4 linked regions of the Elephas maximus indicus genome follow. The protein of the gene in region 1 purifies or fractionates together with the protein of each later gene. This does not show direct contact. Links are inferred from orthologs where the notes say so. Each region holds a gene or a part of one and is shown on either strand. Other genes may lie near its edges. The genes, in order: DIS3L, EXOSC4, EXOSC1 and EXOSC8.

What was found.
Region 2: the proteins of DIS3L (region 1) and EXOSC4 purify together in Homo sapiens (affinity purification with mass spectrometry; 5 studies listed by BioGRID and IntAct, with this or other methods). This does not show direct contact. The link is inferred for Elephas maximus indicus from reciprocal best matches to the Homo sapiens genes DIS3L and EXOSC4.
Region 3: the proteins of DIS3L (region 1) and EXOSC1 purify together in Homo sapiens (affinity purification with mass spectrometry; 4 studies listed by BioGRID and IntAct, counting the BioPlex papers as one, with this or other methods). This does not show direct contact. The link is inferred for Elephas maximus indicus from reciprocal best matches to the Homo sapiens genes DIS3L and EXOSC1.
Region 4: the proteins of DIS3L (region 1) and EXOSC8 purify together in Homo sapiens (affinity purification with mass spectrometry; 4 studies listed by BioGRID and IntAct, counting the BioPlex papers as one, with this or other methods). This does not show direct contact. The link is inferred for Elephas maximus indicus from reciprocal best matches to the Homo sapiens genes DIS3L and EXOSC8.

Annotation. Positions count from the first base shown.
Region 1 is NC_064831.1:56,428,891-56,436,309, reverse strand, and holds the start of DIS3L (DIS3-like exonuclease 1), read right to left. Parts: upstream 3,250-7,419; 5' UTR 3,144-3,249; coding exon 3,005-3,143; intron 1,399-3,004; coding exon 1,245-1,398; intron 1-1,244. UniProt on the Homo sapiens protein: Catalytic component of the RNA exosome complex which has 3'->5' exoribonuclease activity and participates in a multitude of cellular RNA processing and degradation events.
Region 2 is NC_064833.1:814,547-822,768, reverse strand, and holds EXOSC4 (exosome complex component RRP41), read left to right. Parts: upstream 1-4,876; 5' UTR 4,877-5,001; coding exon 5,002-5,172; intron 5,173-6,278; coding exon 6,279-6,485; intron 6,486-6,584; coding exon 6,585-6,944; 3' UTR 6,945-7,359; downstream 7,360-8,222. Other genes in the region: GPAA1 (glycosylphosphatidylinositol anchor attachment 1 protein), read left to right, coding at 8,158-8,222. UniProt on the Homo sapiens protein: Non-catalytic component of the RNA exosome complex which has 3'->5' exoribonuclease activity and participates in a multitude of cellular RNA processing and degradation events.
Region 3 is NC_064834.1:49,201,889-49,209,422, forward strand, and holds the start of EXOSC1 (exosome complex component CSL4), read right to left. Parts: upstream 3,176-7,534; 5' UTR 3,122-3,175; coding exon 3,091-3,121; intron 2,989-3,090; coding exon 2,873-2,988; intron 556-2,872; coding exon 481-555; intron 1-480. Other genes in the region: palmitoyltransferase ZDHHC16, read left to right, coding at 7,437-7,534. UniProt on the Homo sapiens protein: Non-catalytic component of the RNA exosome complex which has 3'->5' exoribonuclease activity and participates in a multitude of cellular RNA processing and degradation events.
Region 4 is NC_064832.1:18,311,580-18,320,018, reverse strand, and holds the start of EXOSC8 (exosome complex component RRP43), read right to left. Parts: upstream 3,112-8,439; 5' UTR 3,083-3,111; coding exon 3,048-3,082; intron 1,798-3,047; coding exon 1,761-1,797; intron 1,567-1,760; coding exon 1,503-1,566; intron 864-1,502; coding exon 790-863; intron 1-789. Other genes in the region: ALG5 (dolichyl-phosphate beta-glucosyltransferase), read left to right, coding at 4,192-4,260, 5,719-5,890, 6,267-6,313, 7,332-7,400. UniProt on the Homo sapiens protein: Non-catalytic component of the RNA exosome complex which has 3'->5' exoribonuclease activity and participates in a multitude of cellular RNA processing and degradation events.

The sequences.
Region 1 (7,419 bases):
CTCTTGTTCTCACATTTAGCATATTCCAAGACACGGTAACGCAGTGGAAAACCAATAGATTTCCATCAAGTTAACTACTTTTTAAATGTTCAGGGGAAAAGACATTTAAATTCCAACTCTTTGCCTTTGAATGTCCCAGAGTTGGCTTTTAAAACAATCCTTAATATTAAAAATATTTTAGAAAACAGAAGTTGAAAAGACTCGGCAGTGTGTTAGCAATCCGAATGATAACAACAAATTGATTTTAGTAGCAGAAATTGAAATACGACACCTGGAGCAGCATTTAAACTTGCATGTGTATAAACACCTATATCTCTGTGACTGAACATCAACTTCCAGCTCATTTTAAAATAGTCTATCTGGAAAACCCTGCACACAATCTAGTTAATGCACGTTGTTTTGAACTGAGTACACAATAAGGGCAATTTATCACTTTCATATACAAATAAAAACACATGATCTTTTACCAGCAAGGTCTGAAGAAGACACATTTCAAAAAGAATAAACACATAGTTTTCTGCTTTTTAAATAACTTGAGTGTTCAGAGGTTTGATGTATAATTTTAACATGGTATTTCCATACAGTTTCCAACTCCAAATCATAAACCTTTCCTCAGTGTTAAATCAGGCAAAATCACTTTTTAGAATATTTGTTTAAAAAGTGGACAATTATTTTTCATTTAGGTACAAGGCAAACATTTTAGACTGGTTTCAATCAGAAATCCTTTGTTTAGCAAATACAATTACTATGGGTGGTAGTTCCACTAGTAATACAAAAATACAACAAGTCATTTCTGGTTCCACTGAACAAGTGATTACAAATACAATTTGTGTCCACAAAAGTGTCTAAAATTTAAAAATAAAGTACTCTCTTTTTCCCAAAAATGTAAGCTTAGAAACAATATGTTTATACATCTCAAACAAGATTAAATAATGTATCAAAAAGAAAGATGCAATAACCGCCACTACTATAAAAATGCAAACCAAAAGCCAAGTTCAGGCTGCAATCTTAAATAACCACATACTGGGGACACTGCAGTTTATTGATCTATAGACCAGGTGTTGAAGCAGAAACAAAATAATGTTACTGCATTCCTCACTAGCAAAGAGAATACCAAATTAGTTCAAAAAGTCCTTTCTAATAAAATAATGAACTCCTTCCCTCCTCCTCTCCCCAACATGGGATCTTTTCTAAGGCGGGAGGGGGGGTACACCATAAATTAAAAAATAATGCAAAACAGATACCTCCGGCCCCTTTGATGCTGCACTGCCTGGCAAGCTGTTTGCATGAAAATAATTCCCTTCAATTCAGGAAACTCAAGGATCTCAAGGTAATCCTGGACAACTTTCCAATCAGGGATCACGTAATGAGTCACATCGCTAGTCAAGAGTTTCCCATCTGAAACATAAGTCAAAATTTAAGATATTAGACAACATTTTCAAATCTGGTTTATTACTATTTCAATGTCATCCTGCCCCAGTGTGCAAAACAACTTCCATCCTTAACTACACCGTGAAGTTTGTAAAAGACAAATCTACTTTGGTAGAAGGTCAAAGTTCAGGTAAATGCAGCACCTTCATTTTTCTTCAAGCGTGATTAGCACTCAATATCATTTATGGTGTTACTGGAGCTGCAGAGGGAGAGGATGACTGATGTTGTCACACAAACAAGAAAATTTTCAGCACAGCCTGTATCTGTGTTAATTCATTGCCGATAAACACTCACATTCAAGTGGGGGACCCCAAAATATACTTAAGTTAACCACTTGCCTATGCCCAACAATTTCAAGTCAGTTTTATCTCCACCTTCTGAATGTGCCCAGAAGTTGCCAAGGGCCAGAAAGACTGAACTGATTAGAAAAGATGCTCAGTGGAAGCCAAGGAATGGAAGGATTCCTACCCCACCCCTGTAGCGGAGAGCTGGTTAGCCAACCTGTAACTGAAATGTTCATCCTAACCACAAAGCAAAGGATTCCAAACATTAGCTGAACAGGACACTACACTCATCTTTCATCACTAAATCCACAACGCTGTGTTGTTGGTTGCCCAGAGTTGATTCCGACTCACGGCAATTCCATGTGTGCAGAATAGAACCGCTCATAGGGTTTTCAAGGCCAGGACCTTTCAGAAGCAGATCTCCAGGTCTGTCTTCCAAGGTGCCTCTCAGTAGGCTGAAACACCAACCTTTTGGCTAGTATACCAGCACGTAACCGTTTGCATCACCCAAGCAGCCTAGAAAACTGTGGGGGAAGGTCTAGTGCACACAAGTTCCAAATCCAACTTTCCTAAGACCTTCCTGCACAACCAGGGGCCTAGATAATAAATAATCATACAGTGATGAAAAGGAGCCCTGGTGGCACCGTGACTAACCTCTAGGCTGCTAACCAAAAGGTCTGCAGTTTAAACCCACCAGGTGCTCCACGGAAGAAAGATGTGACAATTTGCTTCCATAAAGATTAGTCTTGGAAATCCTATGAGGCAGTTCTACTTTGTTCTACCGGGTTCATATGGGTCAGAACAGACTCCACAGCACACAACAGTGAAGAAGGCACTCCACTGGATAAACGTCTGAGGAGTCACTGCTAGCAGAATAGAAAAGTTATGGGGAGCAAAGCAGAAAATATTAAATGAGCAACAGCAGCTTGCTACAGCAAGAGATTGCAGACCCTCTCTCACTGAAGGTCTAAGGGCTCGGGGGCTCACTGTTTCACCTCCCGCCTGCTCCCTCTACGATCCTGGGGGCCAGAAGAGACAGGTTCCTGTGCTCACAGGCCCCTCGGAAAACACAAATCACCGGGCCTCGGCCAAGTGGGGGCGTCTGGCTCTTGGGCCCTTCCATTTTATAAGGCGCCACCGCGGTCTCGCGCCCCGTTTCCCCGCCGCCCTCTTCCGCCTCTCCGCGGACGCAGCACCCCGGCGGCCCCGCTCCCCTCGCTCCCTCTCAGGCCCGGCTCCCCTCGCTCCCGCCAGGCCCCGGCCGCCCTAGCTCGCTCTCAGGCCCTGACCGTTGCGGCAGGCGGCGGGCTGCGGGCAGAGCGGGCTGTGGCAGGGCACGCTGGGCCGCAGGTAATGCTCCCGCACGATCCGCAGCGTCCGGCCATGGAAGGTCCTCAGGAGAAGCACCTTCTCCCGCTTCTGCAGCATGGTGGCGGCACTCGACCGGGCAAAGCTCCGGGCCGCGCGGGGCCGCCCTGGGCGGCCGGGAAGTGGCGGGCGCAGCGCGGCGCAGGCGGAGGCGAGGCCGCGGCTTCAGGCCCGCCCCCTCGGCCCTCCGCGCCGGGCTCCCAGTTGGGCCCGACCAGCCGAACAGCAGCCTGGGCGCTCTGGACACCGAAACCGCCGTAACCACCCGGGCCCGGTGTTGGGCGCTGGAGGCCCGCGGGTCGGGTGCTCCAACCCGAGCCCGGGACCTAGCCCCCGCCTCAGTTTCTCCTCATCCTCCAATTACCAGGGGGCAGGGAGGGGTGGAAAAAAATCTACCCAGAGATTTACGGGAGATAAGGATTATAGGGAGGATGGTTTAAATTCCTGTGAAGAAAGATTTAGCGCAACTATGTTTTTTATAGAGGACTACGGAGCCCTGGTGGCGCGGTGGCTAAGAGCTCGGTTGCTAACCAAAAGGTCGACCGATCGAATCCACCAGGCGCTCCTTGGAAACACTATGGGGCAGTTCTACTCTGTCCTGTAGAATCGCTATGGGTAGGAATAGACGCAACGGCAATGGGGTTTTTATAAAGGACCATTATTCTCATTCTACCCCCAGGCCTATGTGGGGATGGGGCTACCTATTAACGTGGGGTAATTATTAGTGTTTTCTGTTCAATCCTCTTGCTACCCCTAAAAGAGCCAAAAGATTCAGCAAATAAGTCAGCCTAACATTTTTTCCTCTTAAAGAAGTTATATTTATTTTTAATTCCATGTGTTTTTAATACATATAAAAAGTCAGTGCAATTTGACAAAGGCCCAGTGTCAGTTAATTGGGGAAAAGATAGTCTTTTTTAACAAATGGTGCTGGCATAACTGGATATCCATCTCCAAAAAAATGGAACAGGACCCATACCTCACACCATGCACAAACACTAACTCCAAATGGATCAAAGACCTAAACATAAAATCTAAAACGATAAAGATCATGGGAGAAAAAATAGGGACAATGTAAGGAGCCTTAATACATGGCATAAACAGAATACAAAATGTTACTAAAAATGCCCAAGAGAAACCAGATAACTGGGAGCTCCTAAAAATCAAACACCTATGCTCATTTAAGACTTCACCAAAAGAGTAAAAAGACCACCTACAGACTGGGAAAAAATTTTCAGCTACCACATCTCCGACCACCTGATCTCTGAAATCTACATGACTCAGCTAAAAGTCAACCACAAGAAGACAAACAACCCAGTTAGAAAATGGGCAAAGGATATGAACAGGCACTTCACTAAAGAAGACATTCAGGCAGCTAACGGATACATGAGGAAATGCTGTCGATCATTAGCCATGACAGAAATGCAAATCAAAACTACAATGACGTTCCGTCTCACTCCAACAAGACTGGCATTAATCCAAAAACCTCAAAATAATAAATGTTGGAGAGGCTGTGGAGAGATTGGAACACTTATACACTGCTAGTGGGAATGTAAAATGGTACAACCACTTTGGGAATCGATTTGGCGCTTCCTTAAAAAGCTAGAAATAGAACTACCATATGACCCAGCAATCCCACTCCTCGGAATATATCCTAGAGAAATAAGAGCCTTTACACGAACGGATACATGCACACCCATGTTTATTGCAGCACTGTTTACAATAGCAAAAACATGGAAGCAACCAAAGTGTCCATCAACAGATGAATGGATAAATAAATTATGGTATATTCACACAATGGAATACTACACATTGATAAAGAACAGTGATGAATCTGTGAAACATTTCATAACATGGAGAAACCTGGAAGGCATTATGCTAAGTGAAATGAGTCAGTTGCAAAAGGACAAATATTGTATAAGACCACTATTATAAGATCTTGAGAAATAGTTTAAACTGAGAAGAACACACTCTTTTGTGGTTACGAGAGAGGGGAGGGAGGGAGGGTGGGAGAGGGGTATTTACTAAACGGATAGTAGATAAGAACTACTTTGGGTGAAGGGAAGGACAAAACTCAACACAGTGGAGGTCAGCACAACTGGACTAAACCAAAGCAAAGAAGTTTCCTGAATAAACTGAATGCTTTGAAGGTCAGCAAAGCAGGGGCAGGGGTTCTGGGACCATGGTTTCAGGGGACATCTAAGTCAATTGGCATAATAAAATCTATTAAGAAAACATTCTGCATCCCACTTTAAAGAGTGGCATCTGGGGTCTTAAATGCTAGCAAGCGGCCATCTAAGATACATCAATGAGTCTCAACCCACCTGGATCAAAGAAGAATGAAGAACACCAAGAACACAAGATAATAACAACCCCAAGAGATAGAAGGGGCTACATGAACCAGAGACTACATCATCCTGACACCGGAAGAGCTAAATGGTGCCTGGCCACAACCGATGACTGCCCTGACAGGGAACACAACAGAGAACCCCTGAGAGAGCAGGAGAACAGTGGGATGCAGACCCCAAATTCTCATAAAAAGACCAGACTTAATGCTCTGACTGAGACTGGAAGGACCCCAGTGATCATGGCCCCCAGACCTTCTGTTAGCCCACTACAGGAACCATCCCTGAAGCCAGCTCGTCAAACATGGATTGGACTGGACAATGGGTTGGAGAGGGATGCTAGTGAGGCATGAGCTACTTGGTTCGGGTGGACGCTTGAGACAATGTTGGCATCTCCTGCCTGGAGAGGAGATGCAAGGGTAGAGGGGCTTAGAAGCTGGCAAAGATGGTCACGAAAAGAGAGAGTGGAAGGAGGGAGCAGGCTGTCTCATGAGGGGGAAAGTAATTCAGAGCATGTATGAATTTTTGTGTGAGAGACTGACTTGATTTGTAAACTTTCACTTAAAGCACAATAAAAATTATTAAAAAAAAAAGTCAGTGCAGATAAAATGAAAACCAGTCACTTCCCTCGAGACAAACACTATCTATTGAACCTCAACTTTTATAGCATTTGCAGCCTCTGGCAAAGAAATTCTCTTTTAAACTTTCACTGACACAATCACTATTTATATATTTGTGGCTTTTGATAAAGAGCTCTCACAGAGCAGCAGCTTCTGAGATCATACAACCTTGGTTGGCTAGAACCCACTGTTTTTCCTAAGTACTCAACAAAGATTTTTGAGCCGTACCAGTAACTTTACGAACACACGTCACATTTAATTTCTACAATGAATCAAAGGAGTTAGGCGTTGGTTGCCCCATTTTACAGATGAGGGAACAGGAGTTTAAGAGGCCAAGGTTACCCAGCTATTAAGTGATGAAATCAATACTCGAACCAGAATCTGACTCAATCCAAAGCAGGTTCTTAACTAATTACTGTGCTTTGCCAAGATGTATAAAATATACAACTCCTGCATCTAAGGAGTTGATAGTCTCCTTGAGCTCTAGTTAAAGCAGCTCACTCAGCCAGCTGGGAATATCAAAGCTTCCTATGATGCTGAAGTGAGCAGAACTGGGGGTGGATGGGTGAGTGGGCAACCTGTTGGACAGTAGCTTCTCTCTAGGGGAACATGTTAAAAGAGTCATGGTCCCCTGTCTATTCCTATGTCAAGTTATCCTGCAGTGTCAGATGACATGAATGAGATCAGAGGTGAAATAAAAAAAAAAAAAACCAGTTGCCATCTGAGTTGATTCTGACTCATAGTGACCCTGTAGGACAGAGGAGAACTGCCCCATAGAGTTTCCAAGGAGCAGCTGGTGGATTCAAGCTGCTGACCTTTTGGTTAGCAGCTGAGCTCCTAACCATTTTGCCACCAGGGCTCCTAGAGATAGAATACATAAACCAAAAAACCAAACCTGTTACTGTCTGATTGATTCTGACTCATAGTGACCCTATAGGACAGAGCAGAACTGCCCCCTAGTATTCCCAAGGCTGCAACCTTTATGCAAGCAGGCTGATGCATCTTTTTCCCCCAGGGAGTGGCTGGTGGGTTCGAACCACCAATCTTTTGGTTAGCAGCAGAGGGCATAACCACTGCACTACCAGGGCTCCTCCAATGGAATATATGGACCACAGCCCAATGCTGGTCTGTGGCCAAAGCACAAGGATGCCCTTCCTGATTCAGGAGGTCAGTTCTGGAGATCTCAGAGGACAAGCAAGTAGCTGAATTTATTCCTTACATAAAAATGCTTCAGACAGCTGCTCACGAGTCCCTGGAAAGCTTTTACTTCTGGTTATATTGGGGGGAAATGTTGGTTGTATACTAATCTGCCCTGAACATCTCTCTTTAGCACCTTGTAGCTCTAAACTTTATCCAAATTACAACAAGTAATCT
Region 2 (8,222 bases), on another chromosome or scaffold:
GTGAGAAGAGCAGCGGTTGCCAGGGGCACAGGGGGAGGAGGGAGGGATGACCAGGTGGAGCATTGGGCTTTGGGGGGCAGTGAAACTGTCCTGTGTGATACTGTGATGGTGGATATGTGCATTATGCGTTTGTCATGATCCACAAAACTGTACAACACAAAAGTAAATCCCAGTGTAAACTATGGACTTAAGTTAATAATAAGGTACAAAAAAATACATATATCTCCAGTGTCTGGCTCCTCCAAAAAGTGGCCATGCCCCACTGATGGGAAGGCCAGCTGCCTCCCACTGCAGCCCAGCAGAGCCCCCCCAGTCTGAGCTGCCCACCTCTCTCGGCATCCTTGAACTTGATAGTCCTGCGCCGGGGCAGCCGGGGACTGGCGGGCACATTGGCCAGGAAGCCAGAGCCACAGAACCCCAGACCGCTGCTTCGGTTCCTGAGCACCAGCTTCAGCTCCTGGTTCTCCTGGATGAGCTGCACCAGCCGCCGCAGCTCCTCATTCTCTTGTGCCAGCCGCTGGATCTCCTGCCGCAGGCCTTCGTAGCTGCTGAGGAGGGACATGCCCGGAAGCAGGGGCAGCAGCTGGCCAGCAGCCAGCAAGCTGGCCCAGGGCAGTGGAGCCCACCATTGTGAGGTCAGCAGCTGCCCCTGCCCCGTGCCTCGGCCACATTCCACATTCCAGGGCTTAGGGCCCCAGGCCCAGTTATCCCAACCCCTCTGGGTAGGCTCACTTGACCTTTGACCTGTGGGCCCCTATGCCCTATGAGCTTGACAACCAGCAGGTGCCCAGCCCTGCCCCAGGTGGGGGAGGTGGGGGGTGGGACCCCAGAAAACCCCTTCCTCGGGGGTAAAAGCCTCTTTGTCCTCAGCTTCGCTGGGGTGTGCTGCTGGGAGGGGTGGGGGGCAGGATTCAAGCATTCCCACCCACCCACCTGGCCTCCCTCGCAGTGGCCACCAGAGGAATCAACATGGCTGACACCCTGGCCTTGGACTCTCAGCCTCCAAAACTGTGAGAATAAACTTCTATTATTTAAAGCCACCCACTTTGTGGTATTTTGTTATGGCAGCCGAGGTGGGAGCCCACCTGGGGGCACCTCAGAAGAAAGGCCTGAGGAAAAATCAGCCACTGAAAACCTTGTAGAGCACAGTTCTACTGTGACACACATGGGGTCAGCGTTGGGTCAGCCGCAGCTGGTTTAAGACATGGATGCACCCCTGACACCCATCTGTGGGCCAGAGGGGTTGCTATGGAAGAAGTACGGCATACCCTCTTCCCAGCCCTGGTACAGTACTGCAGGGGTTCTGCCAGGGTGACGGGAGGGCTGGCAGCTCCACAGCTCTGCTGAGCAGCTGACTCTGTTTGGAAGGCAGTGTGTAGAAACTCATGCCTCCGGGGCGTTGTTAAAAATTCAGCTCTTAGGGGTGTCATCAATCCCGAAAAACAAGTTATTTCTGATACTAATAGCAACAAATGAAACCAAAGACCACCCAGAAGTTTAACAGAGAAAATCTGGGAAAGAGACAGCTAAAAAGGACTCAGCCAAGACTACATTCATTCTTGGCGGCCCCGAAGGCTGTGCACAGGCACGAGGCTGTGCCCACTCGGGCTGCCAGAGCAGGTACTTGAGAGCCACTAGTCCCTGGGTGCTTTCCTCTCCAGCTGCTTCTTTAACAAACTGCCACAAGCTTAGTGGCTTAAAACAACAGAAAGTTATTCTTACAGTTCTGGAGGCCAGAAGCCTGAACTGAGTCTTCTGGGGCCAAAATCAAGGTGTCAGTGGGGCCGGTTCCTTCCGGAGGCTCCAGGGGGCCTGTGCCTTGCCTCTTGCAGCATCTGGTGGCTGGTGGCCCATGACTCCAGTCTGTTTCTCTGTGGTCACTTTGCTTTCTCGTCCGTAGTCACATATCCCTCTGCCTCCCTCTTATAAGAACACTTATGATTAGGTTTAGGGCCCACGGGGTAATCCAGGATCCCCTCCTCCATCCAGTATGGCTAGGAGAAAAGGACTATAACCCATCTCAGCGTCAGACCAGGTGCAGCCGCAAGGCTCTGGCTGGCTTGCTAACCCTGGTGCCGCCATGACTGACTAGACTTGTGCTCCCTGGGAGGTGGTATTTCCCTAGCCCATCACAGTAAATCCATCCCACGTGCTCTTTTTAAAATGCAACATTGGCATTCCTCTCATAGGGCAGTGGGGTCTATGTCCTCTCCCCTTTAGCCAGGGCAGAACTTTGGGACAGCCTTGACCCGTGGAGTGTTGCCGGAGTGACAATAGTGATAGTAATGTCTGGCTTCTGAGGCGAGGTCATAAAAACACCATATACATCACCCTGCCTCTTGGGATGCTCACCCTTATATCCCTGCCGCCATGCTTCGAGGAAGCCCAAGCTACATGGAGAGGCCACATGTAAATGTTCTGACAGCCCCAGATGAGGTTCCAGCCAACAGCCAGCATCAACCAGCAAACATGTGAGTAGGGAAGCCTTTAAGATGACTCCAGGCCCAGCCACCATCTGGCAACAACCACACAGAAGATCCTAAGTGCAAACCGCCTAGCTGAGCCCAAGTGACCCCTCGAACTGTGAGAGATAATAACATGTTTTTGTTATTTGAAGTCACTAGGGTCTGGAAAGTTTGTTATGTAGCAAGAGATAAATAGACACACAGTACCTTTTTGAAAAAAAATGAAGGTATCTTCATTCTCAAAGGAAAAATAAAAAGGAGGCCCATTTTATTGTGGTGTGGGGGCTGATGTAATGGGGAGACAAGTGGATCTGAATAGTGCCAGGTATGGACCAGGCTGGGATACAGCTGAGAACACCTTCTCAGCCCCCTTCAAACATGCCTCTGCTCTGGGTCAACGTTAGAACCATGTCCGTTCATCCCTTCACTTTCAAACTTATGGCGTGGAATCTGCCTCCTGAGCCGCTGCAGCGGGGCTGCATAATGCAGCCTGTAGGAGCGGAGATACTAGCTCCGCACTGGTGAATGGTAAGCGCTAGGAAACGGGAGACAGGAGGTGCCAGGGCAGGAGGTCCCCTTCATTTCTTCTTCCTGTAGGCAAAACAGCAGTTCCTGGAGGAGCAAATCCAGGTAACCAAGTCATCGGACCCCATGAGGTGAGATGCAGGAGTCCACCAGGGCCAGGAAATGCAGGAGAGAGTAACAAAGCTGTGCTGGGTAACACCTCGCAGGCTGGCCAGGATTATTTTAAAATCTGTGACATTTACTTCTGGTGGGAAAGAAGGGAAAAAGGAACTCTGGTACATACAACCTTCACCCAGAAATCCTACTCCTTGAGCACACTGGCTCCCCGTCATGGGAATGGCCAGAACGAATCCTGGTAGGGTACTCCATGGATGTCAAGCAGCCAACGAAAAACCAACACGAGCTCCGTTGGACTGTTTGGAGAGATTTCATGAGGAGTTTCTGGAAGAAAAACAGAAAAGTATGAAATGATCCCATTTTAAAAAATAACCAGAGATCCCAAAGTCCCTGTGTGGCTGTATGTGTACAAATGCATGTGTTGGTGTGTGATTTGTATGGAACTACGGGAGCATGAAGACAAATACAGAAGACACTATTTGTTAGATCATTAAAGTAGATGTGGAGGGTGGCGGTGGCAACATAAGAACCAAGCAAATGAAGAGAAATTTTAAATTGCCTTAGCAGCCATCTAAGATGCATCAATTGGTCTCAATCCACCTGGAACAAAGGAGAATGAAGAACACCAAGGACACGAGGTATTTATGAGCCCAAGAGACAGAAAGGGCCACACTAACCAGAGACTACATCAGCCTGAGACCAGAAGAACTAGATGGTGCCCGGCCACAACTGATGACTGCCCTGACAGGGAACACAACAGAGAACCCCTGAGGGAGCAGGAGAACAGTGGGATGCAGACCCCAAATTCTCATAAGACCAGACTTAATGGTCTGACTGAGACTAGAATGACCCCAGAGGTCATGGTCCCCAGACCTTCTGTTAGCCCAAGACAGGAGCCATTCCCAAAGCCAACTCTTCAGACAGGGCCTGTAAGACAGGAAATGATACTGGTCAGGAGTCACCTTCCTGGATCAAGTAGACACATGAGGCTATATGAGCAGCTCCTGTCTGGAGCGGAGATGAGAGGGCAGAGCGGGTCAGAGGCTGGCAGAATGGACACAAAAATGGAGAGTGGAGGGAAGGAGTGTGCTGTCTCATTAGAGGGAGAGCAGCTAGGAGTATACAGCAAGGTGTATGTAAGTTTTTGGATGAAAAACTGACTTGGTTTGTAAGCTTGCACTTAAAGCACAATTAAAAAAATATATATCCAAAATAGATAGTTTTTCCTTAAAAAAAAAATTAAACTGCCCTTCAAAGAACAGGACCACACATGCGTATGATGTAAAATTGTGTCTAAACGGTAAGAAAGTGAAACGACAGGAAACGGTCTGCTTGCAGAGTAGAGGCTTCCACTCCGACAACCGCTGGCTTCGCCCGGAGAACCTCGAAGGCGCCTCTCAAGAAGCAGCAAAGTCGAGCCAGTTGGCGCCGGGGACTGAGCGGAGCTGGACCCGCAGGCTCGGCGCCCTCGGGCCTCCGGGTTCTGGCCAAAGAGGTGCGCCCGGCGGGGCTGGGGCGGGCGTCCTCTGCCCACCGGTGTACCGAAGCGCAGCGGCGGCCAGAGCGGGAGGGCCCCGGGGCCGTCAGAACAGCGCCCCGCCGCAGGAAGGCTCCGCCACCGGCCGCGGCCACAGGCTTCCGTCCCGGGCCAGTGCAGCGGTCGTTCCCCGGGACCTGAAATGCGGAGTGGGGCCCTCGGAACTGTAGTTCCCGAGGTCGTAAGTAGTGACACGACCCCCGGAAACCCAAGTCCAATTGACCGGAAGTGGGCGCGGACTCGCCGGAAACCGAGATCCTGGAAGTCGGACGTAGGGAGCGGGGCCGCCGGGAACTGTAGTTCTCCGCGAGCGGGGCTGGCTACCTAGTGGCATGGCGGGGCTGGCTACCTAGTGGCATGGCGGGGCTGGAGCTGCTATCGGATCAGGGCTACCGCGTGGACGGGCGGCGAGCCGGGGAGCTGCGCAAGATCCAGGCGCGGATGGGCGTGTTCGCGCAGGCCGACGGCTCGGCCTACATTGAGCAAGGCAACACCAAGGCGCTGGCGGTGGTCTACGGGCCTCACGAGGCGAGTGGGTGTGCACCGGCCGGGCTACCTCCGGGCAGGTGGAGGGATCGGGCCGAGGCGGGAGCCGCGGGGCGCGCGGGCCGCGCGGGGCGCGCGGGGCGCGCGGGGCGGGGTGCTCCTCGGTTCACTGAGCAGAGGCGTCAGGGCCGCATCTCACTTGGAGTAGAAGCCGAAGTCTTCACTTGGGTGCCGCACGTGGTCCGCACTTCTCATCGGCCTTGTCCCTTGCGCGCTGCATTCTTGTTCGCTGTCCCTGCGGGTGCCGCGCGCACCCCACCGCCCCACCTGGGCACTCAGCCCTGTGGCTTGTCCGTCGCCGTCCGGATGATAGCGTAGCGGACCCCGTTATCCACGTGGCAAATTCTCTCTACGAGCGCACACCTCTATTCCTTTCTCTACCTTTTTGTGCCTATCACCTGAAAACATCAACTTTCTCAATAGATGAAATTTATGTTTGTCTCCCCCACTGGAACATAAACGCCACGAGGACACGGTGGGACCATTAGTTTTTCTGCCGCGCCCCCAGCACTGTCACAGTGACGGCGGCGTAGGCACTGAAGAAAATGTTTGCTTGGCGAATGAGTCTGGGGCTCAGCTTTCCAGACTGAGAGAACCAGAACGGTGGGAACCAGCACAGCGTGTGTGCAGAGCAGAAAGGCTACTGGTTGGTCGAAGGAGGAATAATTCCCGATGAGGTTGAGGGGTTTCCAGGAAGGAGAGGATCCGGGACCTTGTAGACCAGGGAAAGGTTTGGGGTTTATTTCACACGCGGTATGAAGCCTTTGAAGGTAAGCAGGACATGTGAGTGTGTAGGTGAGAACCAGACTTGGTGTTTGTAAATAAACTCTGGATGCCCCGTGGAGGGTGGAAGTGGGTGGGGCAAGGATGGAAAGAGGGAGGCAGTTTAGAGAGATGTGATGCCAGAGGTGATGGTGGCTTAGGCTGCCCAAGTGGGCCTCCCTCAGGCTGTGTTTCGGAGGTGAGTAGCTACCCTTTGGTGAGCCGTTGGAGGTAGGGGGAGGGGCTGAGGTTTGGGCCTGAGCCACAGAGGACAGGGAAGCGTGTGCTGGGAGAAGTGGTCCGGCTCATGGGCCCTTCCTCCCTAGATCCGGGGCTCCCGGGCACGAGCCCTGCCTGACCGGGCACTGGTGAACTGTCAGTACAGTTCAGCGACCTTCAGCACAGGCGAGCGCAAGCGGCGACCACATGGGGACCGCAAGTCCTGCGAGATGGGCCTGCAGCTGCGCCAGACCTTCGAGGCAGCCATCCTCACACAGCTGCACCCTCGTTCCCAGATTGACATCTATGTGCAGGTGAGCAGGCAGCAGCCCTCAGCCTGGGGGCAGGGATGTGGGGATGGAGCTGAGGGTTCAGCAGCCTGACCGACCGATGGCCTCGGGGGCTCCCTGCAGGTGCTGCAGGCAGATGGTGGGACCTACGCAGCTTGTGTGAACGCAGCTACCCTGGCAGTTATGGACGCTGGTATACCCATGCGGGACTTTGTGTGTGCATGCTCAGCTGGCTTTGTGGATGGCACAGCCCTGGCGGACCTGAGCCACGTGGAGGAAGCAGCTGGTGGCCCCCAGCTGGCCCTGGCCCTGCTGCCAGCCTCAGGCCAGATTGCACTGCTGGAGATGGACGCCCGGCTGCACGAGGACCACCTGGAGCCGGTGCTGGAGGCTGCTGCCCGGGCTGCCCGCGATGTACATACCCTGTTGGACCGTGTGGTCCGGCAGCATGTGCGAGAGGCCTCTGTCTTGCTGGGGGACTGACCACCTGGCCACCACGCTCTGAATAAAGTCCTGCTTCTCTGCTCACACGAGCCCTGCTGTGCTTCAGTCCCCACCCTCCCCACAGAGCTTCCACGCCCCATAGCCTGGCCTGGTGTTTGTTCCTGGGATAACCAGAGGCCCTCGACCATATGTCAAGTGCATACCTCCTGCACCCTCAGGTTTCAGACCTGAAGAGAAAGATGGAGCTGGGCCTGGGGGGTGGTCTCAGTGGAGAGAACAGCATGACCAGGAAAGGCTGAAGGCAGAGAGCTTTGACGTGGGCCTGGCAGAAAAAGCCAGGCCGCTACACTGTGGGGTTTGTACATCACCACCCACCACACCCTTCTAGGGGGCCTGAGCATAGGGCTTGAGAGAGAACTCAGTAGCTGTGGGTACCAGCAAGGGGATGTGGAGCCATCTCCCACATCCTCTGGGCCACGGCTCAGACTGCATGTCTCTTGGGCTCCAAAAGTACAGCAGACGCCTGCTCTCACTGGTGTCTTCTCCCTCCGAGGTCTGACCATCCCTGGTCGGACACACACACCACAGCCACTGCACCCTCTGCAAGCTTCCCTTTCAACAACCTCCTTTCTGAAGATTGGCTCCACCGCCTGCCACAAACCGGCCTGAGCCTGAGCACCAGCCCCTGCAGCGGGCACCAGGGTTAAAATCCCAGAGACCTGGACTAACCACCAACTCCAGTCACTCGGCTCTGACAGTGTCCAAACTTGCCGGCCTTCCACCCGCCTGCCCTTGTAACCCTTCTCTGATTCCCCTGCCAGGCGGGGACGCCCAGCTATCGGACGGCGCCTTCTTGCTGCCCCGTCCCTCCCCTGCCAGCTCAGCCGGCAGCCGCTCATCTTCACCACCTTCCCCAGTCGTGCGGCCACCCGCCTCCCTCTGGCGCCGCGGATGGCCGGCCCGACCCTCCCGGGGGCCGCTCCCTGCAGATCTCCAGTTTCCGACCCCAGCTGGGCCCCGTGACACCGACGCCGCCGCCCCGGGCCCGGCCGGCCTCGGCTCTGGGCATGCGCCGCGGGGGCTCCCGGGGCAGGAAGTGTGGTGCGCTCACCGGAAGTGCGTGCGTGCGTGCGTGCGTGCGTGCGTGCGTGCGTGCGTGCGTGCGTGCGTGCGGGCGGGCGGGCGGGCGGGCGGGCGGGCGCGGAGTCCCGGATGACGAGAGCGCTAGCTCGGCCGTCGGAGACAGCCAGCCATGGGTCTCCTGTCGGACCCGGTGCGGCGGCGCGCGCTCGCCCGCCTCGTGCTGCGCCTCAATGC
Region 3 (7,534 bases), on another chromosome or scaffold:
GCTACACATGCTTAAGTGGACTACGCTGATCATTATCCTAGAAATCTCCAGAACAGCACAGTTCGATAAAACTTCCAGAAATCCTGTACTGGCTAATATGGCAGCCACTTACCACACATGGCTACTGAGCACTTGATATGTGGCTAGTGTCACTAAGGAACTAAATTTAATTTTCATTTATTTAAGTGTATTTAAATAGCCATATGTGGCTAGTGGAAACTCTGGTGGCATAGTGGTTAAGTGCTATGGCTGCTAACCAAGGTCAGCAGTTCAAATCTACCAAGTGCTCCTTGGAAGCTCTGTGGGGCAGTTCTACTCAGTCCTATAGGGTCGCCATGAGCTGGAATTGCCTCGATGGCAATGGGTTTGGCTTTTTGGGTATGTGGCTAATGGCTACTGTACTGGACAGCAAAGCTCTAGAATGATTGCGATTTCAGCATTGGACAAGTGTCCTAAGCAGGGAGGTTAGGACCAACTTACCTTACAGGTTACAACAGCCCCCACATCTGGCAGTAACTGAGATTCTGTCTCTCTCCTCACAGATACCACAGGAAGCTACAGAGAGAATAAAAAATGGGAATCCTGGCTAAGCTCTAAGTAAAGTTATTTGTGGCTTGGGAATACTAAAGGAATCCCTCGGTCCCAGTTAAGGTCACCAGGGCAGGTCTACCATGGATTGATTTATAACCCATTTATAGGAAATGGGAGGACCAAGATGGGAGAACCAAGGGGTCATGGGAAGAATGCTGCCAGAAAACATCCTGTAACAATTTCGAATTAGTTCTAATAAGTTTTTTTGGTGATTCTCTTAGATCGTCTAGGTAAACAACCATATTGCCTATGATCACTGATGATTTGGCTCCTCCAAAATTTTATTACTTCTTTCTGTTTACTTTTTTGCACAGGCTAGAATTTCCAAATCAATGTTATTTAATAGTGGCCATACTTGCTCTCTTTTAAGGGAATAATTCCAGAGTTTTCTCTTTGAGCATGGTATTGGCACTTGCTCCCTCATTTTTTAACAATCTCCCCCTTGCTCACTATGCTTCAGCTTTCCTGGCCTTCTTTCACTTTCTTCAACTCACTAAATTTCCTTTCACTCAGGAGCTCTGTTCTGTCAGTACTATCCTCTCCCATCTACCCAACTCCCACTTACCCTTTAGGTTCAGCTTAAATGTTACTTCTGTTGACTAAGCTGGGTTTGTCTGCTATAGGTCCTCATGGTACTCTGTAATATTCTTTGAAAGCACTCACACGCTTGCAGCCATATACTCATTTGGGCATTTGTTTACAATTCATGTTTCTGCCCCTTTGATGGCAGAGATTACCTGTATTTGGTTTATTACTAGACCCTCAGAGGTTAGCACTGGGCCTGGCATGTGAAAATGCTCAACAGACCTCTGTGAACAAACTAAGGAATGTTAAGGATATTTTCACAACTGGTTGAATAAAAAGCTCCTCATTTCACAGATGAGGAAGAATCTAATGCCAGAGAGTTTAAATCTTTTAACTGAGGCAGAATCAAGGTCTACTGAGTCAGTACCTACATGTTATAATTCTGAATCCTTTTTCTACTATGCTACTTGTCTTAAGCTGCTCCTTCAAAGATTGCTCAGCTGATCCTGAGCTAATCCTGGATCAGCCTCTGGAACTAGGGAGGATGTTGTTGTTAGGTGCCATCAGGTTGGTTCCAATTCACAGCAACCCTATGTACAACAGAAGGAAACACTGCCCAGTCCTGCGCCATCAAATTTCATTCAAGGTCCTCCTCTTTTTCACTGACCCTCTATTTTACCAAGCATGATATCCTTCTTCAGGGACTGATCCTGCCTGATAACATGTCCAAAGCACGTGAGACAAAGTATCGCCATCCGTGCTTCCAAGGAGTATTCTGGTTGTACTTCGTCCAAGACAGACTTGTTCATTTTTCTTGCAGTCCACGGTATATTCAATATTCTTCATCAACACCATAATTTGAAGGCGTCAATTCTTCTTTGGTCTTCCTTATTCACTGTGCAGCTTTCACATGCATTTGAGGCGAATGAAAACACCACGCCTTGGGTCAGTGTGGATAGTACTACTTATTCATTCAACAAACATTTATTGAACATCTACCTTGTGCTAGGTGCTGAGGGAATGATGGTGAGGCCTGCTTTCCTGGAACTTAAGAGTCTAGTAGGCAATATATAGATGACTGTTTAATTATAAGCTGAAATGAGTGCTTGGAAGGAAAGGAATACAGCTGAGAGTGTTTAACAAAACAAATAAACGACAAACGAGAAGACACAAAACGCTCTTCCCCAACTAGTGGGTTCAGGAGGGCTTCTTTGAGATTATACTTGAGAGACTACTAGGATAGGTATGTAGAGTAGGAGAAGAAAAACTAGGCTGAGGGGAATAGGTAGGAAGGAGGATAGGTGTTAACTAGGCTAAGAGGGAGTGGAGCATGTTCCAGACTGATGGCACATGTATAAAGGCTCTGTGGCAGGAGAGAGCTTAACGCTTTAGCGACGCTGGAAGAAGCCAATATGACGAGATCGCAAAGAACGAGGGTGGAGAGAGTGAAGAAGGTTGAAGCCAGGCGACACTCAGCATTCAGCTCACGCCTGGGCTGGGTTACTGTCAGCTCACCTCTCCTCCCCCCAACCTCCCACCCCGAGTGTTAGCAGCACAACAAAGCCAGATCACCACAGCTGGTCGAGGGTGGCCAGGCGCACAGCAACGAAGATTACAGCTGGAAAAAATTCAGAGACCTAGTTTTTCTATTGGTGAGGCACTGAAAACGCGTTCTCAGCGCCCCTGCCTAAGAACCGCGAAATCAAAGGAAGCCTAAGAGAAAGAGACCGAGGGGACGGAAGGCCGTCGCCTTTACCGCGCCGTTCTCGCTGCTCTTCGTCAGGCAGCCGGCAAGCGACGAGAAGATGTAGCCGTGCCGGGTGTAGGTGCCGCTGCCCGGGCTGCCCTCCTCCAAGTTACACAGACGTTCGCCTGCAGAAGAAGCGCCGCGTCAGCCACAGACCCCCAGGAGCTGTTGGCCGTCCAGCCTCCGGCCTCTGTCCCAATCCAAAACTCGGCAGACAGCTCACTTACCCGGGACGCAGTACCTCACGGGGGGCGCCATGACAGCCACTGTCCCAGAGCCCGGATGAAAACGAGGCCGACTTCTTATTGGCCAAATCCAGGCACAGCTCGTCAGTAACAAACGCGCCAATTGGTGTGTGTTATCACGTGATCTACGGGAGTCCCACCCCCTCCTCGAGGGACAAACTTCATATCCCAGGTTGTCCCGAGACAGGTCCCGGGGCGGAGCTCCAGGGCTCCTGCTGTTGCGCTTGCGCCTGTCTGTGGTCGAGGATGGGCTGGCTGTGGGTCCGGGTCCCCCCGCTGGTGTTGCGGCCGGCGGGCCACGCTGGGTCGGATTGAGTCTGGGCGCCGAGCTGGAGGGGCTGGCAGTGAAGGGCGGCGGAGCCTGCGGGGCTGGATTTAGCTAATCGGAGAGCCGGCAGGTAAGAGCAAAGCCGCGGCTCTTGCTCGCCATCCTGGTCCCTTTTTCTGAGGTGGGGCCCTTTCCTGGAGCCCTGTGGAGTCCCCGGGTTCCTGCTCTCTTTGCTCCGCCCTGCAGGGCCGTGCCCTTCGCTGGCTCGGCCAAGCGCACCCTCCGGGCAGCGGTAACGAGCGGAGCAGGAAGGCCAAGCAACCCAACTCGCTCATTTCATGGATTTGGAAATTCAGATCCAGAGACAGGATTTTACTTGTTCAAAGTCTCGGAGATAGTTCAAGGTAGAGTCCACACAGGAGTTTTTTTTTTTTTTTTTTTTTTAACTTTCAGCCCATCGCACTTTGACCACGCCGTCCTCCTTGAGAAATAAAACCTCTTCCCGATTTCTCTAACTGCAGCTTCGGATTCTGCAGTCGGATTCTCTCAAGCGGAGCTCTGGTCGTGTGGGCCCATCCTTAGCTTCTGATATTGCCACTCTGTTTTCTTCCCAGCACGTTAGTCCGGAAGCGAAGTCATGCAAATGAATAAAATGCTGCCCTTTACTGATGCCCGCCCGAGTTCTGCTGCTTGAGATTGCAGATATCCTGAGAGCAGCATCTTTGTTCAGATGAGATTTGCCACGACTTTTAATCTGTTTCCTCTGCCTGCTGGTGGCTTTGGAATCTATCCCTCTCTGTCTACTCCCCACCCCCATTTCCAGCTTCCCTATGAGGCAGATGGTGATTTAGTGCCTTGGGAAGAAGGGATTCTCCCTTTAGTGCTGTGGCCTACAATCCCTAGTTGGCTGGCAGATGTCACTATGGCCTGTGGCTACCACTGAGGGGTCAGAGTGCTCAGGGCTTGTTCTTGGAGTGACAGTGAAACTGTTTTGCTCTACTTCCTCCCCTGTTCACTCTGAAATCCTCCCCCCCATTTTTTTGAGGTCTGCCCCCCCACCTTAATTTCCTGAGATGAAAACTCCATATGCTTTATTGTAGCCGATGGACTATATACACATCTCTTTCCTGGCATCCCCTCCCCAGTAGCTAAAGTTGGGGAGCTCTGGCTTCCTACTTTGTACACTCAAATCTGTTCTGTACTCTGCATATACAAACTGTTTATGTGTTTGGGTTGGCTTCAGGTTGGACTTATTTTCTAAATGTCTTCTAGCTCTTAAGTGGTATGATTCTAATAGCAGTTGCAGTTTCTCTTTGATCAAGAAGAATGGTAGCGGCAATTGTTATCATTAGGAGTATCCTTGCTGGTATTTGTAGGACAGATAAACATCTGACCAGCCTTTCCACTTTTGCATCACTCATCCAAGTGTTCCAGGTCATTTATTCATTCAAGTATTTATCAAGCACTTCTATGAGGCAGGTATCGTTGTGCTAAGCACTTTATAAACATTTCATTTATACCTTACTGGAAACCCTGGTGGCGTAGTGGTTAAGTGCCACGGCTGTTAACCAAGAGGTCGGCTGTTAACCAAGAGGTCGGCTGTTAACCAAGAGGTCGGCTCTTAACCAAGAGGTCGGCAGTTTGAATCTGCCAGGCGCTCCTCGGAAACTACCGCACAGTTCTTCTCTGTCCTATAGGGTCGCTATGAGTCGGAATTGACTTGACAGCAGTGGGTTTTTATACCTTATTAACTATATACATAGAATCACAAAGGGTTAGAGCTGGAAAGGACCTTAGCATTTAATCCTACCCTCTCATTGTATGGGAACACAAGGAGATTGAGTCCCAGCAGGATTAAATGATTTGCCCAAGATCACAGAACTTACTCAAAAACTAAATCTAGTTTTTGAGGCAGGGCTTTCCTGTGGGGCTTAGAAATTCAAGAGGTGGGTGAGAACGATGGGAAAAGCAGTGAATCTGAGAAGGAAGGTATTTTTTATTGACTAGAAGAGTTGGCTCTACGGTGGCATATAATTTACATTTTTCACAAGTAAGGAATGCAACTGATTTGCCAGCTATACATAGGCAACTCTCCATTAACCATAATGAGGGAATGAACGGTGGTGTGGACAATCCAAAAGCCACCTGGATTTGTTGTGGGGTAATGCTTTGTCCCACTTTGATCTGATGTGGCTGTCCACTATTTTGAAAATTCATGCTTCAAGACAAATCATGATCCCAAACAATAGGAGTCCAACTCAGAGAAAGTGGGAAGTTTGTATTTTTCCTTTTTCTCTTTTCTACCCCCGCCACATGCCTTCTCTTAGTTTCCTAGGAGGTGATAGGAATGGCTCGTTCCTTTACCCTGGTGCAGAGTATGGGTCCCTGTGGATTTGTGTTTCTTCCCTGTCTTTGTAAGCCATGTCTGCTGGGTTTCTGTTTGCCTTAGGCAGTTATAAGGCTTGTGGAAGGAGGTAATTAAGTGCTTTCTTTGAAAGACCTTTTGTGGGGATGAGCCAGGGTGCAAGGAGAGACATTGCTCCGGTTACCGAATTGAAACCTCCCTAGAGTGGAGCAGCCTCCTCCAGTTTCTGCTGGGTTTTGAGCTGCCTGTTAAATAAGTCAGTGGAGTTGCTGAAGACAAAGCAGCCCTCTGTGGCCATCCTGGGGGAAAATGAAATACTTTCTTTTCTGCTAAAGGACTTTAATCTGCAGAATTGATGAGAGGATCATCACAGGAATCTGTTAGAGCATCTCTGTCTTCTGTTCTGGGCACTGCCTGGGCAGCCGACCTCCTTCCATTGTTGTTGGATGAGGTAGACACAGCATAGAGGAGATGGAGGCATTTGCAGGGGTGCTGTGGAAAGGGCTAAAGAGCTGGCTGGAAAGCTTGGGTCCAAGGGCAGCAGGGGGCCCCTCCCACTGCTGGTATTTACTGTCTGTGGTGGTATTCTGCTCTGGATACCTGAGGTTGTCTTGGCTTCTGTGTATCCTTGGGCTGGGGCTGGGGCTGGGGCTGGAATTGGAGATAAGGAATTTTGTGTTATGCAAGGAGCAGCTGAGCTGTCCCGATGAGGAGACGGGAATCTCATGCTGCCAGCTTGGGTCTGCTGGCCTGTAAAGTCAGCCCTGAGTGCACGGGCAGGACTCAGATAGCATCAAGGAAGATCTAGGTGCAAGGTCCGTGTGCCATGCACTCACTCCCCCACTTAGAGGAGCCAGCTGTTCTTGGGAAGAACAGTTGTGAGGAGGAGGACTGATGAGACAGGGCATGCAGGAGACCCATACTCCATCCAGTCATCTGTCTACATAGGTAACTCCAAGGAATCTTCTTGAGCTTAGAGCTGCCTGCCTCTCCTTCACCCCTTTACCGTGGCCCTTGTCTTAGTTATGTAGTGCTGCTACAACAGAAATACCACAAGTGGGGGGTTTTAACAAACTCATTCATTTTCTCACAGTTGAGGAGGCTGGAAGTCCAAATTTAGGACACTGGCTCTAGGGAAAGGCTTTCTCTCTTGGCTCTGGGGGAAGGTCCTTGTTCCTTGGTGATCTTCATGTGGTGTGTGGCATCTGTCTCATATCTCCTTGTGCTTCTCTATGCCTAATCTGGTTTTACAGATTTTAGGATTTAAGACACACTCTACACTTAACACTGTCTCATTATCATAACAGAGAACACCCATTCTCAAATGGGATTATAACCACAGGTTGGGTTTCACAACACGTTTATGGGGGACACTGTTCAGTCCATAATGGCCCTGTACTCTAGATGTTCATCACCTCAGATTTGCTGCGCACCCACTTGGTATGATGTATATAGGATTTCTGTAGGCTAAGAACCTGCAGTCCTCCCATGTAACTTGGTTGAGACATTGGCACTGCATATTCCCATAAGAAATGAAGTGACCTCCATACTTCACACAGCTTGTGACTGGCCTAGCTGGGTCCCAGTCTTAGGTCTTTGTCCTCTAAGCTGGTGCTTTGGGTCTCCCTGCTGGTGGGAATAGGGAGGGACAGGAACCACGCTGGATCCTCACAGTGGTATGCTCTCCTAGGAGCCATGCGGGGCCAGCGGAGCCTGCTGCTGGGTCCAGCCCGCCTCTGCCTGCGCCTGCTTCTGCTCCTGGGCTATAGGCGCCGCTGCCCACCTCTGCTCCG
Region 4 (8,439 bases), on another chromosome or scaffold:
AAAACCTGGCAAGAAGTAAAATGTTCAAACCATATTGCTAGTTATCATCCCAGTTTTACTGAGGAGGAATCTGAACTTAGGTTAAATAACCCTGAGAACAGTGTAGTAAAAAAGCACAGGCATTGGAGCCAGACGTATGTTTATCTGTGAACCTTGTGTACCTGGACAAGTTACTGAACCTCATCTGTAAAACAAAGGAGACAGAGAAATAATACCTCAAGTGATGTGTTTGGTGCCCCTCTTTGGAAACATGCTGCTAGTTGAGAGTAAAGCCAAGAATTTAAGAGAGAGCCGAATTTATAGCAAAGAATCAAGTGTTGAGTGTGAGGCATTAAACTGGATAATTCTGTAAAGCACCCAGCAAGGAACCTGCAATACAGCAGGCACTCAGTAAATGGTAGCTATTATCGTGTCACACTTTTCTCTTCAACAATCTCTATGTTCTACACATTTCACACAGATTAAATGCCATCACTGGCTAAAAGAATGCTGCCAAAAATCTCTTAATTTGCAATGACAACCAGTTTCTAAAAATAAAGGGTGGTGAGATTAAAAATAATTTCATTTTGGTACATTTGACAAATGTTCCTAAATTATAACTGAGTCATTAAACTAGGGCTGTATTATGTAACACTCATAGATAGGTAGAAGCTCTTTGAAAATTAAAGTAAATATCAAACAACTGATACCTAGCTACCTAATCAAGAGTAGAATTAGAACAGTATATTACAATCTAATATATGGCACTACTTTGCTAATTCACATCAATAAGATACAGATTAAACCTACCGCTTTAATTCCACAAATTACTGTCGTATTTCCCAGCTTCACTAAAGCAGAACCATCTGCAGTACTAATTGAACCTGAAAAGATATTTAGGTAAAATGAAAAAGTTCATTAAAAAAAAAAAAAAACAGCTACAGAATTATCTATATAATAACTAAAATGTTAACCTCAGTTTTCTAAATATAATATTAGCCATCTACACATCTGTAGTCTGTGGCTTATGAAAATTTATAGCTCAGGAGTCTGATTTTAAAATGCTATAACTATTTAAAATTACTCTTTTAAGAAATATTTGCCTGCCCTTGAATTTGAGTTAATCATTTTTCATGGACAGTCACAGGATCGTTGTGTACATAAATCTAATAGGAAGAAATCACTCCAATTCCATAGACATGGTAGGATTTGGCTGAAATATGTTTAAGTGGCTCACAGGCTAGAACTTGGGCATATCATACAGTTGGAAATGGAAAATACCATATTTGCATCAAGAAGACTGAATAAGTATTAGGCCCATAAGAAAGCCTTGTCTTTGTGGTTTTGAAGGAAGAAAGGGAAAAAAACACTTTATAGTTATTTTGAAATTTAAATGAATTTATCAGTTGAGAGGGTAGTAAACTTACAAATAATTCTCTACTAATATACAAAAACTAAGAAAAATACTATTTTACAAACTGCTTAACATCAACATCCTATTTTAGAACTCAAAATATCCTCACCTACGTTGACAGTGGTGGTTCTGAATTCACCAAGTTCTCTTCCATCAGGACGGCAGTTCTCTTTCTGAATAAATGTAATGTTTATTTATATGAAAATGGAACATATACAGGTATATTTTACACACAATCAGGTAAAACACATTAAACCATGTTAATGCAAAATAAATTCAAATTCAAATTATTTAATTTGAATATCTGAAATTTGTCCTTAAAAGAAGCATATGATATTGTTATGAAAAAGACAGTGACATTACTGACCAAAAATCTCCTGTAATACTCCAGAGGTTCCACGGTTCTGAAATGCATGAGTTAAAAATTTATCAGGCAAATTAAAGAATCTTAACATAAATCCCAAAACTGGCAAGGCTCTTAAGGGTCTGGTGATCCAGCCAATCTCCAAAATTTGTAGCTAAGTTTCTTACATGAATTCTGATGTCTATGTTATCACCTATAAGTAATTATAAAAAACAGAGCCCTATCACAGTAGCAATTGCACTAAATCACTATTCTTCACTCTTCCTTAAACAATTACAGGGTTAGAGACCAAAGCCCTTGGACATCTTTAAAAATGACTTAATCCAGGTGTTAAAATAATCATGCTATTCTTGCTCTAAAGCTGAGATTTTTAACCTAGTGAGCATGAAAAGTTACATTTTTATTTTCACTATCGTATAGGGTCGCTGGAAACCCTGGTGGCGTCGTGGTTAAGTGCTACCACTGCTAACCAAGAGGTCCACAGTTCGAATCCGCCAGGCGCTCCTCGGAAACTCTACGGGGCATTCTACTCCGTCCTAAAGGGTCGCTATGAGTCAGAATCCACTCGACGGCAATGGGTGTACAACGGAAACTTAGTATATCCTTCAATTATGACCACAGACAATAAACCAAAATAACATTAATAGCACCAGTGAGACCCACGGATACGTCCCTTTTACATTTTACTTGTCCAAGGTTTTTTTTTTTTAAGGTACCTTTAGGCTCATCATTACTCTGAAATTCCAGTAATTACTACATTCACCACTAGATCTTGTTTAAGAAACTTCACTTTAAAAAGTACTCGTATTAACAGATACATAAATGTATTACAATATAACTGGCTTCCTTTCTTATTTTATCCTTTTAAAGACATTGTTGTCAGGCGACCAAGGGCTTCACCAGAGCGGCACAGAAAGGTTTAACTCAAACTTCCGAACAAGCAACAATCCTTTTAGAAATAAATAACAAGAAAGGAGAACGAGGCGCGTGTGATCACAACCGGTCTCCCGGGTCTGCACGTCCACCCAGCCAGCTGACGAGCGCTCGCAGGGGGTTCAAGGCTCCGCGCACCCAGACCCTTCCCTCTCCCGTCCCACTGGGGAAAAGTCCCTTTCCTTTCACCGCAACTGCTCTGGTCGCCTGCTTGGGCAGGGAAAGAAGTGTGACCCCGGCGGGGACCGCTTCCAGGTGAAGGAATCCTAGCTATAACGTTGAAGGGGCCGACACCCAAGCCTGCGGCGGCTGCCCCGCTGAACCCAAAAGTCCCGCCCGCGGGCCGCCGACACTCACTTGAAGCCGGCCGCCATCTTCCCGCCGGCGCGCATGTGCGGCGTTGGGTGCGCCTGCGCACTGTGCACACTGAGGCGCGCGCCCTTCGCCCGCCTCGGAGAAAGCGAAAGGCGGGGATGCGCTCGGGGCGGTGGCGGTCTGGGCTGTGCCGGGCCCGGCTTGGGCTCAACTGTCCCTGGCCAGGCTTCCGGTCGCCGTTCTTGCCTTTGATGTGTTTGGTGCCCCTCTTTGGAAGCATGCTGCTAGTTGAGAGTAAAGCCAAGAATTTAAGAGAGCCGAATTTATAACAAAGAATCGAGCGTTGAGTGTGGAGCATTATTTCAAAGTGGCTACGTCCTTTCCCGTCTCCGTCGTGGCCGGGGCCTGCAGCGTGCGTCTCCCCAACACGGGAGAATTACCGAACTTTTTGTGCTGTCGCGGTCAGCACCAGGCTACACTTCAGCAGAGCTGGAGAAGGCTCCGAAGGAGCAGCTTGTGTTGTGTAGACTATGTCGTGGCTCAAGGCCTCCACCACCCTCCTGGTTAGGATTGCTAGATGAAAAACAGGACAGGCCCACTGCTGTCAGTTCCGACTCAGCGACCCTGTAGGACAGAGGAGAACTGCCCATCGGGTCTCCAAGGCCGCAGTGTTGACGGAAGCCGACTGCCACAGCTTTCTACCGTGGAGCGGCTGGTGGGTTCCCACCTCCGACCTTTAGGTTAGCTCCTAAGGTAGAGGACACCCAGTTCAATCAGATAAGCAATATTTTAGTATGAGTAGGCCCAAAATAGTCCCGTTGGCACAGTGGCTAAGAGCTCAGCAGCTAACCAAAATGTGCGCAGTTCGAATCCACCAGCCTTCCTTGGAAACCTGTGGGGCAGTTCTACTGTGTCCTATAGGGTCGCTATGGGTTGGAATCGACCTCAGAGCAGTGGGTTTTGGTTTCTTAACGTTTTTACTTGGGAAATCTGGCAACCATACCAAGAAAGGGCCAGCCTGCCCTGGGCGCTGTGGCCTGCCGTGGCCGCGCGGGGGCGCTGTGGCCGGCGGGCGCAGGCCGGCGTGGCCTCTCTGGTGGCGGGAGGCGGGGCGAACCCTGCTTCCGCGTGCGTGTAGGGGAGGGATAGGGTGGCTGCGGCGGCCCGCACGGCGGCTCTGGCATGGATGATGTCGCCTCTGCTGCTGCAGCTGGGGGTGCTCGGCGTGGCGCTGGCGGCCGCAGCGCTGATACTGGTGAGGACAGGGGTTAGGACCGACGTGGGCCTGGGCTCACCGCCCTGCTGGAGGCTCCGGCTCCCCGGACGTCTCATCCGCCGCATCGCCCTTCCTTCCAAGCCTTGGTCGTAGAATTCTTCTCGAACTTCACTCCTCCTCTCTCCGGGTCGTTATTTTTCTTTGCAGACTGCCTCTCTGATGCCCAGAGCCCGTGTCGGTTCTCACATTGGGACGCGCCCACCCAGCCTGCGGCTTCCACCTCACTCACCCCTGGCCCCCAGGGACCCTGCCCACCCGCCCTTTTAAGAGTCCCTCCAGGGCATTCAGCCTCTGCCGCCCTGGCCCCACCCAGGGTGGTCTTAGGCCCTGAGAATACGTGCCCTTCTGCTGATACGGTTAAGGAAATAAAAAGTGGTGACAGAGCACTGACAGCAGCCACCTGTTACAGGTTGGGACAAGTCAGTGGATCAAGAAGACCCACTAGGGACACAGGATGACCAGAAAAGATGAAGCCTAGGCTCATCACTTTACCATGTGTCTGTGGGGCCTTATGTCTCAGAATTAAATAGCCTACAATTTCTGCCTTTAAAAGGGGCAACACGGCAGAACTCAAACTCAGACTTTCTGTGTCATTTATTAAGGAAATACGAAAACATTTTTAAAACTTGCTGATCTGCTGATCTGTAAGTAATAGAAAAATTGCCGAGTGACCTCTTCCCATATAATTTGGAATGAGCCTTCTGTCTAGTAAATGGAGAAAAGTTTGTCGCTCTTAACATTAAGATTACCAGCCTACACAGCGCTGCCAGGATGGAACCTCACTGTGTGAGTGCTGATGATCAGAGTTGAAGGACACCTGAGAGCCGGCTGGATTTCCTGTAGTGGCTGTTCTCTATTAGATTTGAATGACAGAGGCCTAAGAGGCCTGGGGAATGGCAGGTGGGAAGAGAGAAAGAACCTTCTGAGGCATTAGTGTGTCAGCAACTAGCTGGGTGAAAAGGACAATCATTGGTTCATAAGTAGGCCACTGACTGTCTTCTAATTGTAGGGTCACTTCTAGACCATTTTTAAAGAACTAAAAACAGTGATTATCAAAAACTAGTTGCTGTTGAGTTGATTCCAACTCATGGTGACCCCATGTGCGCCATGGAGTTTGCAGTGGCTGATTTTTCAGAGGTAGGGTGCCAGGCCTTTTTTCTGAGTCACCTCTGGGCAGACTCGATAACCACCGAGGGACTCCAGAAAGTGAGTATTCTGCTAAAAAAGAATTCCGCTGAAAAAGTCGATTTTTCAGACTTTTTCCATACATAAACTAGGTGTGCTGGGGCTTGTGATTAATTTTCAAAAGCAATTTTTAATGGGTTTTCTTTCAGTGCCTGTAATGATGGATGAAGCTCTGGTAGCTGATGTATTGTAACAAAATGAATGTAAAAAAAGGTCAGCAAAATGATTACTCTTTTGCCTGTCTGCTTTTAGATTTCCTTTGTTGCATTTATAACTGCTTTGAAAATGCCACACCTCCATCAACATGAAGATGAGAAGTCCTTCTTAAATGCCAGAGGCCAGAAGGAGCCTTTACCTAGCATAAGGGACTCACCTACCAAACAGCTTTCTGTTCTCGTGCCTGCATACAATGAAGAAAAACGATGTAAGCACTATTTGATTTTTTGGTAAGGAGTAATTTGGGGAGAAAAGAAAATTTAAGGTATTTGACTTTACTTTCTTTGTCAGAACAGTATTAGGCGTGGGCTGTGGTGAGTGGCAGAGTTGGCGATGGTTGTAGTTCAGAAGAGGGGAGAATGGGTATTAGCTGTAACGAACAGGAGCGAGAACATGAAGAAGTAGGACTGGATATGTTCTAGAAAAGTGAACACGACACAGGAAGACTTTCCAGATGGCAGTGACCATTGGGTCAAATCCCAGAGGGACTAGTTCGGTTTTTCAGACTTTTTCCATACATAAACTAGGTGTGCTGGGGCTTGTGATTAATTTTCAGAAGCAATTTTTAATGGGTTTTCTTTCAGTGCCTGTGATGATGGATGAAGCTCTGGACTATCTAGAGAAGAGACAGGTACTGTGTTTTCTCTTTTAATTTGATATCTCCACTGAAAACTAGACCAGGTCATCCAGGCTAGACCCAGTGCGAGAGGCAGCACCAGCCATGCATGGGCAGTCCTGATTGCTGTGCTCTCCGGCCTGCTGGGTTCTAGCCTGCTCAGCTTGTAGCTGGCCGTCAGCCTTTTGCAGGCAAGCCCAGCATGTAGCCCACAACGTCCAAAGGCAGGTGGGCACCCCCAGGACAAAGTAGAGAAGGAAGTTTCTCTCCCACACACTTTTTACTCTTTCTTTCCTGATGATATATTTAAGATTGAGTGACAGCATATAACTGCAGACCTTGTATGTTTCTTTATTATTCTCAGGAATCCCCCCTCAGATATTATTCTTATCTTTTCTCTACATAAAAGTAACATATGCCCCTCTTTTGTAGCATCAGCGGCCATTGGCGTCTCCTTGGGGAGTTTAACAATGAACCGAGCTTTATGGCTGGTTCTTATTAGAAAATTCCTTCTTTTGATTTACTTTAATTTGGGGTGTATTCATTGAAATAGGGACTGTGTTATATATGTAAAAACTCGAAGAAAAGATGAAGGGCATTGAGCTCTTTGTATATGTGAGGATTCTACTTTTTCTATTACACGTGTTTTTAACGCCAGTCACGTGGACTAGGTTTTATTTCCCCTTTTTGAAAAATGAGAAAACCAGCTAAAAAAGTTAACTTGTCCAAGGTCAAGGCTAAGAAGTGATAGAGCCCGGATGGACTGTAGACTCTGTGACTTCAAATCTGTTCCAAATATGTCTTAGACTCCCAAGGCCCTGACTTCTTCCCTGTGATGCAGGGAGGTGAGGGGAAGAGCAGAGTGCACAGAGAGATTTAGCCAGTGTTTCCTTCTCTGTTCCTGTTCTTAGCCTTTTTGTTTTATGTATGTGTATTCTTATTTATATGGATAGATACTAAAAGAGTGGTTTTTTAAATGCCTTAAAATTTTTGATTATGTCAGATTGTGGTATTTTATTTTTGTTTCTTGCAGAAACAAAATCCTGTGTTCACATATGAGGTGATAGTAATTGATGATGGCAGTGAAGACCAGACTTCAAAGGTAAATAAACTTGCTTTTAGAATTACCAGTAAGTAGAACATAAAGAATATTATAACAAATGTCAAATTTTATTTCTGCTCACCAGAGACCCCGTAAAGCTATGCCACATCTCCTCCATTGTTGTAGCATGGGTAGTAAAAACACAGAGATTTATGGAAAGCTGTCCCATTGCTCCATAAGGCCAAGGAAGCTTTGAAAATCACCAAACAGGGAAGGAACATACCCAACAACAGCTCTTAGGGAACCCTTTTTGCCTTCCAGCTTATGATTCCTGTCTTTAAGCATAATTCCTTTCTTTATGCTCCACCTTGCCTTACAGTTTCTAAAGCAGCCATGCACATAGGAAGATGCCTTCATATCTGCCACTGGGTATCAGGTATGTCCTTTGGCATGCCCCTGTCTAGATGCATCATAGGAGGCAACAGCATCTTCAGCTTTATTGCCTCTTGTTCCTACATTCATAGACCTATAATTGCCGTGTCGAGATGCATTGATCTTTGGAATAGGTCACATATTGAGTGTCCCTGATAAAGTACTCTCTAAATATCTAAATCTGTGTATTATGAAGGATGTGTCACGTTTTCTTCTTTGATATTCACATTTCTCTAATAAGTGATTTCATTTACGGTGCTACTAATGTTCTTGCTAAATGGCAACATAAGAAAAACCATGCCTGTTGCCATCAAGTTGACTTGACTCCAACTTGTGATGACACCATGTGTTAGAGAGCAGAACTGCTCCATAGGGCTTTCTTGGCTATAACCGTTATGGACACTAATCACCAAGCTTTTTTTCCATAGCTCTGGTTCTTTCCATAGCGCTTCTGATTGTCAACCTTTAGCTTAACAGTCAAGCATCACTTGTACCACCAAAACCAAAAAAAAAAAAACCAAACCTGTTGCTATCGAGTTGATTCCAATATAGCAACCCTATAGGACAGTGTAGAACTGCCCCTATGCCTTGAAAACCCTATGGTTTTCAAGGAGTGCTTGGTGGGTTCGAACTGCTGACCTTTTGGTTAGCAGCCAATCTCTTAACC